Oryzias latipes: one gene and its partner. The protein of the gene in region 2 purifies or fractionates together with the protein of the main gene of each other region. This does not show direct contact. Links are inferred from orthologs where the notes say so. Each region holds a gene or a part of one and is shown on either strand. Other genes may lie near its edges.

Region 1 (3,750 bases), on a different chromosome or scaffold from region 2:
TTGAAATGAAGCAGCATAGAAACATTAAAGCATAACCCGTGTCTGATAAAGGAACCAGGTTAGTCACTACAGACACTAGAAACGTGGTTACTTTGGATCCTTGACCAGGAGGCGGCGAATGAAGTCCTTGGCGAGCTCGCTGGTGTTGCTGAAATACTCCTCGTCAAAGTCGTAGTTGACGGCAGAGATGTTGGTCAAAGTCTCCTGCTTGGTCTCGCCCAGAAACGGAGACGCTCCGCTCAACCTAACGCACAAAACCACGTCAGACCCGACCCAGGACGACCCCACCCCACCCCACCCAACGCTGAGACGGGACGGCTGACTCACAGGATGTACGTGATCACGCCGATGCTCCTGCAAAGACAACAGACATGAGTGTGGGCTGGACAGGTGTGCAGCTTCAGGTGAGATGCTGAGGGGGGAGGGGGGGGAGGCTCACCACATGTCCGCCTCCAGGCCGAGCGGCTCGTAGTTGACGATTTCAGGAGCTGCAGACCAGAACGCCGTCATTAGCATCAGATCTGAGGATCGACTCCAGCAGAACCGCCGGAGAAACTCACCCACAAACTCTGGAGTCCCGAAGATGTTCTTGAACTCGTTTCCTGCTTTAATCTGGTGAGCGATCCCAAAGTCGATCAGCTTGATCCTGGGGTTGGGAACGTTCTTGTCCAGCAGCATGATGTTCTCCGGCTGAAAGATAAGATGCAGAACATTTCTGGACTGAAGCCTCACCCAACGACCTTCAAGGTCACAAAACGTCTTTTTATGTGTTTGTGGTGTTCTTAAGGCGGAATGACTCGCTGCCTCCTTAAGGGGGTCAGATTGAGGGTTTTTTTTTTTCTGGTGGCGACTCCGACTTGTAAATCCCTCATGAGAAGCAGCAACAACGTCCTTTTCCCGCCATGCTGCTGACCTTGAGGTCGAAGTGAGCGATGCGTTTGGAGTGCAGGTACTGGACGCCGTCCAGGATCTGCTTCAGGAACTGCGTGGCCTCCTCCTCGGTCAAAGACTCCTTCTCTGCGAGGAAGTCGAAGAGCTCTCCTCCGGACACCAGCTCCAGGATCAGGATCACGTCGGTCTTGTTCTCGAAGATGTCGTGCAGGGTGATGATGTTGCTGTGCTGGATCTCCCGCAGGATGTTGACCTCGCGCTCGATCTCCTCGCGGCTCACCCCCCGCCGGCTGGAGGACAGACGCCGCTTCTTGATGAACTTGGCCGCGTACTCGCCGCCCGTGCTCTTCTCCCTGCACTTACGGACGATGGCGAACTGGCCGCTGTGGAGAAGCAGAGGCGTCAAAACCTCCAACCGCACGTTTGACAAACGCCAAACTTGAACAAAGAGAACATCTGACAGAAATCGGCTTCTTGGTAATAAAATGACAAATTCAAGCCTTTAGGGGAGTTTATTAAAGGTAATGAACAAAAACAGATGATCTGATGCATCAAGAGGAAAATGTGACCAAAAAAGGACAAAAACCAAAAGCAGCAGCTTGCAGAGCGACTGCTCCCCTAATGAATGCTGGAGTCAGCAGTTTTTTGAGCAGAGACGGACTTTTGGACGCAGCAGAGGTAGAAGGGGGCCGTGAGGCGCCACGTCACATTTCTGCTGCATTACTGCACAACATTCACTTCGCTCATTCCCAAGCTGAGCAGCACAGAGGAGCATAAAAACGTTTTACTTTCGCAGATGGATGGTGCTCCAAAAACTGACTCCGGAGACTGCATTTCCCAGAAGGCATTGGCATGACAGGTGACGTTTCACAGACGCTCTTACCTGCCCAGCTCCTCTCCCATCTCATAATGCAGCTCCACGTCCTCCTGCCTGAAGCCAGCCATGCTGCTGACTTCACTGATGATCGTTACTGCCATGGAAACGGGAGAGTCATGTCAGACACCGACAGACAGCCAAAGTGTGTCCATCCGCGAAGGAAACTAACACCCTAACGCCGCCGGTCACCTCCGTTTGGGTCTGAACGCCATATTTGGGCATCGTGAGTTTCTAGACTTTGGGGCTGGTGTCAGCCCTCCACATACCGGCCCTCCTTACATCATCTCCTCCAGCTGCGAGCGGCTCCGTTAAAGGGACATCCACACACAACCGACGAGCGGGTTTCCGGTTAAAAAGAAGCGGCAACACCGGGGATCACCGTTTTTCTACCGGTGATCGGTAGAAAGCCCCACCTCTGTTACAATTTAAGTAAATATGAACACAATTACATTACTGAACTTTTTCACGAATGATCGCAAACAGATGCTTGAATACTGCTAGCCTCCCAGAGCTAGCATAAAAACCCGGTTTAACGGTTTAAAAACTACTGTTCAAGCCAACAGAAGCGCGTTATTGATTCCCAGGCATGTGTTTCCGGTGAGAACGCGAGTATTCAGAAGTATTTCTACTGGAATATAATAAGATACTCACGGGAATACTGCCGAGGAGCGCTGCTTTCATTAAACTGAATCTTCAGCTCGACGAACAGACGGAAAGCTAACAGGAAGCTTCCGGTCTGGCACTTCAAAATAAAGGTCTGTCAAACGACTGACATAAAACATCAATGTTCATGTTATGCTTTTAAATTTGTTTTATTTCTTAAACAGCTTCAATTAAAGTCATTTAAAATAAAATTATACCCCATGTATGTTTAAAAAATAAGCATTGCATTACAAATTGTTTTACTCTTATTTTTTGTTCTGTATTTAGAGCCATTGGCCCTTATTAAGCTTTTAAGTCATGTTTTTGTCATGTGCTATTGTTCATTAGATAAAGAATAAAACACATTTTAAAAAATTAATAAATGGAATTAAAAAAAATTCACTTTACAGGTTTGTCTTTTTCCTTTTTTGCTTTTCCCCAGACCCAGTTCTGATGTTTCCAGTCCATTGTGACGGTAAGGGGAAAGACTCATGCATAGTAAAGGGAAAAGCATTTTCATTACCATACATGGAGGTAATCAGAGCCTCCAGTCAGCAGAAACAACAGAACATATGAATCAATAAAGACATGTATAAATATATCCATGTGTGAATGGACAAATGAATGAATACATTAATAAATTCATGAAAAAAATGAATAAACAAACCTAGATCTGCCATCTAACCTTCATGGAGACAAGCCTCTCTGATTTGGTCACTCATCTGTTTCCAACGACACTATTTTGATTTTTTTTTTTTTTTTTTTTTTTTTCCCGAAGAAAAAAATATTCTCCGTCCACTTAGTCATTACTTTTCATTTCTTTACTAAATTACTAATTTACTAAAGAGCTTTATTTTGAAGTCCCGCTGGTTTGCTTTCCGGTGCGGGTGATGATCTTAACACAGGCAAAAACCTGGCAGAAGGGAGAACATATGGAATGACGTCATCGAGGCTCTGCAGCAGTACGTCAGTACACAAGACTGTACCTGCGGGGTCTGCAGTATGCGTCTAAACTTCAAGGGAATCCACAAAGGGAGACCAACGGCAGCGCATCCCGTTACTAAACATTAAAAACATAGAAGTACAACATCAGAAGCGGGATCGCTCTGGTGAGGCTGAAGAAGGCAACTCTCCACCAAACAACACTATTCTCATACTGAGGAAACGTCTCATGACTCACGTTACTGTCTGCGGATTTGTGCTGGTGACCTCACCTGAGCCTTGCTGCCGCGGGATAAAAATTTAACAGTATTATGAATGACTCATAAAATATCAAGTATCAGCTTACTTCAAATTGTAACCGTTAACCATTTTAACATTGGTTGGTTGCTACACTGTGG
Region 2 (3,650 bases):
GGTGAAAGTTCGGTTGTACTTAACAGCAAAAGATTTGAATTCAGCAACCTGATGGATAAGAGTTGCGCGTACATCACGCTGTATCATCACAGGTAAATGCTTTTGGGGGAAAAAATTGTGTATTTTTTCATGTTTGAAGCACCGGTTTGAGAACCAATTAGGCACCAGAACTGTTTCCAAAAGTGTCGGTTTGGCACCGTATAGAATCCAAACAGTACCCATTCCTATGTTAACTTCTTTCTTGTCGTGGTCGCAGAAGCTGCACTCCTCCTCATTAGGCTGCAACCCCAATACTTTCACGCTGCTGTGAATTTGTAGGCATTGAGATCAATTGTTTCCACATCTGCATTGGCTTCAGAAAATTGAGCAACTGAGCAAATCCAAGCAGCTGCCGGACACTGTAATGTGGCGAACGGCACATTTAAATATAAGAATCCTATTCTTTTCTGCTTGGTGTTTTCTTGACCTTCTTTTCCCCTGTTGAGGTTCTTTTTAATTTCCACCCTCCTTTCACGTGTCCCACCCTTTTCTTTTTGTGCTTAATGGGGCAGCAGGAGTCCAGTCTGCAGAACTGCTGCCCTAAGCTTAAAGCCGCAGAGCCTGGCGTCAGGAAAAAGTACGCTGCAGTGCAAAGTTAGACGCACCAGGAGCTCGGCTTTGTACGTTTCAAATAACGATTTAAAAAACTCAGAACCTCCAAGTTCTTTGTCAATGATAATTTTAGAAATGAAAAGTCTTAAGCCCTGAAAGAAAAGTAAGAGCTTTTAAGATATAAGACATCCTCGATATAAAAGACATCCTGAATGAAAAACATGCTTTTTTTACAGCATTGCCACTTTGGATTTCAGCATCAAAACATATTTGTCAAATAGATTTGGAAAGAAATAAACAGTTTCAATTTCAAGTTTGGATAAGACAGTTTGTTTAAATTGTGGTCAAATTGATCCTTTTAGGTGTATCTGTTTAACTAACAGAGTTTCTGTTAGTTCTGTTGTAGAATGTCCTTTGTAAATAAGGAGAGCACCTACCGGTGTTTGTTGGGAGTATGACCGACTCCAGGACTGAGACGTCACAGGTGCGTGGGGTACCGTCCTTCCCAAGCCTCCAGTTTCCAGAGTGGGAGACTGTGAGCTCCTGGTTCGCCGAAGAGCCGGTTCCTCTGCTTCCTTAGTGTTTGTAGCAGCACTGTTGATTCTGCGCATGTACACCTGGGGCAGGAAACCACACAAAAAATGTTATATTTGGTAAATTCACTCTTATGCGTCAATGTTTTTTAGGAATGTAGTAGCTCACACGTCCCCTCACCTCTGCAGGTGATGGCTTGGTTACCTTCTGTGCTGTCAAACCAGCTGCTGCTCCGCTGCTTACGGATTCGTCTACATCAAATGTCGTTGCACGGTATGCCCTCCATGTCGTTGAAGCCTCTGCTTCATCTTCAGACCAGTCATCCAACATTCCTCTTTTGGCTTTTGCCTCGTTTCCTGGCGTGGCACCCTTGTTTCTCCAGGTGCTTCTCACAGTCACATTCTTTGTGTCTGGTATGCCGTCTTCTGGAGAGTACTGGCTTTGTCTTTGGCTTCTCCAGCTGGTGACTGTAGTCGTGCTGCTGCTGCTCTCAAAACCGGATTCTGAATCATTGACGTCTGCAGACGTGTTGTCTATGGGCTGAGCGCCAAGACTGCCGCGCAGGCTGCTGGAAGAGGAGGAGGAAGAGGCCTCCACCATGGAGGCTTTGTAGAATTTGGACCTTGATGAGTTATCACCGTGGTTGAAGCTCCCACAGTCCTGGTCCTGGAAAGACCGCATGGTGATCTCACTTTTGGGTATGGAGATCTCATATGGGATGGAAATACTGCCATGGTGGTCAAGGCTGGGACCTGGCAAAACATCAAACATGTTAAAAAAAGGACAACACAAATCAACATGAATATTTTCTAGTTAAATATCCTTGACCACAAGTCTTTCTTTATCCAGTTGTGTTAACAAGATATTGTCAGTTGTATTTATGGCACGCAGTGACCTAAACTTGCACTCCCTATGCTTATTTTTTTAAACAGTTATTTGAAGGTATATCACTACATGTTATTATAAAACATATTGAAAAACCACAAGAAAGGACGACTGCTCCTCCATTTCTTACCTCAGTCCTGAGTCTAACTGCTGCATGAAGTCAAGGGGTGGGTTAGTATTAAAGCTCCAGAATAATTATTAGCTGTAAAAACCCATCAGCTCTTAAATTCCTAAAATTAAGCTTTGAATGTTGTTCTGAACCCACCTATGAGGATGTTGCTGGTAGACGTATGGCGCTCCTTGAGGGCCGTCGGTTCACTGGACACACTGCTGCTACGACTGCTGGTTCTGGAGGAGCTTGGGTCGTTAGGGTAGAAGGTTATACTGCTGGTCATTTTACTGGATGTGCTCATCACAACTGGCTTGGTGGAGATCCTGGGTTTGCTGTTTGTAGATAAAGGTTCAGAAATCATAATTTCCTTCCTGTCAATCTCAGTGATGGCGGGCTTGATGACGGCCTTTGACCTGAGAGCTTCTCTTGGGCTGTACACCCTCTGGATCTCAATCACAGAGGGGGTATGCGTGGGTCCCTGATGCCCCCCATCAGCATACTGAGTCCTGTGCATCTCCTCATCAAACGAACTCCGAGAGGAAGATCCCTCGGAATGCGAGTCATGAACATGGGGGTATTTGGTATATTTGGAGGCTGCATTCCTACTGCCTACAGTTGGAGCAACATCAGAGATTGGTTCTGGTTCTGAAGGCCTTGAACTTGTGGATTCAGTTTCAGAAGCAGAAGAATGACCCTCTGAGCCCTGGTCGTTGGGCAGCAGTGGAGTGAGGTGAGATCTGTAGGCTATGTATGATCCATTTGTTTTGGCTGAACCAATAGATCCAGAGACCGTTTCTTGAACCTGGTCAACAGACTCGTGATCAGAAGCAGAAGCCAATTCTTTCTCAAACACAGCATCACTGTTTATGATACTGGATGTTTCCGGCGGCACATCAGAGTTATTTGATTCGCTGTCGCTACCTACACTCAAGCTTGAAAACTTTCCTTTGCTCTTTTTAATCTGCCCATCAGGCTGTTTAAGGGCGGTCCTCAGTGGCTTCTGGTCGTTTGCTGCTGGGGGGTAACGGCTAAGAACAGACACTTTCTTCATTTCAGTAGAAGCTGTATTTACGGAGTTGTATGTGGTGCCTCTGGTCTTTTCCTCGGGAACCCTTGATGTGTCCCTCAGTCCATTATTGGAGGAAATCAAAGCAGCTTGGGTTTTAGGCGTCCTTCGGAACTTGTGTGCAGGACTAAGAGCTCTCCTTGCAGACTTTGGAGAACCCCCGTCAGAGTAGCTGAGCTCTTTGCTTCTTAGTTTGGTTTCTCTTCTGTGCTGAGGAGAGAGCTCCCTGTTCTTGCGGCTGGGGGAACTTGGTTCTGAACCAGCTGCTGCGCTTCTAAACTTTGGCTTCTCATGTCTGAAGCCTCCTTTTACAATGATCTCCTCATTCTCAGCTTTGCCGTTCTCCAGAACCTTGGCAGGGCTGTGGGGGCAAGTTTTAGATTTTTCACTGCTATTTTTATCCAAACTACTTACTCCATTTCCTCCCTTTCCATCTTTCCCTGAGAGCTGCGCCCTCAGTTG

The links. The genes of interacting proteins can lie anywhere in the genome.
Region 1: the proteins of luzp1 (region 2) and dapk3 purify together in Homo sapiens (affinity purification with mass spectrometry; 3 studies listed by BioGRID and IntAct, with this or other methods). This does not show direct contact. The link is inferred for Oryzias latipes from reciprocal best matches to the Homo sapiens genes LUZP1 and DAPK3.

The regions. Positions count from the first base shown.
Region 1 is NC_019875.2:30,205,093-30,208,842, forward strand, and holds the start of dapk3 (death-associated protein kinase 3), read right to left. Parts: upstream 2,527-3,750; 5' UTR 2,420-2,526; intron 2,387-2,419; exon of another isoform or gene 1,958-2,386; intron 1,863-1,957; 5' UTR 1,837-1,862; coding exon 1,775-1,836; intron 1,275-1,774; coding exon 914-1,274; intron 691-913; coding exon 561-690; intron 489-560; coding exon 440-488; intron 355-439; coding exon 328-354; intron 245-327; coding exon 92-244; intron 1-91. UniProt on the Homo sapiens protein: Serine/threonine kinase which is involved in the regulation of apoptosis, autophagy, transcription, translation and actin cytoskeleton reorganization. Involved in the regulation of smooth muscle contraction.
Region 2 is NC_019880.2:6,615,529-6,619,178, reverse strand, and holds part of luzp1 (leucine zipper protein 1), read right to left. Parts: coding exon 2,276-3,650; intron 1,878-2,275; coding exon 1,306-1,877; intron 1,209-1,305; coding exon 1,029-1,208; intron 1-1,028.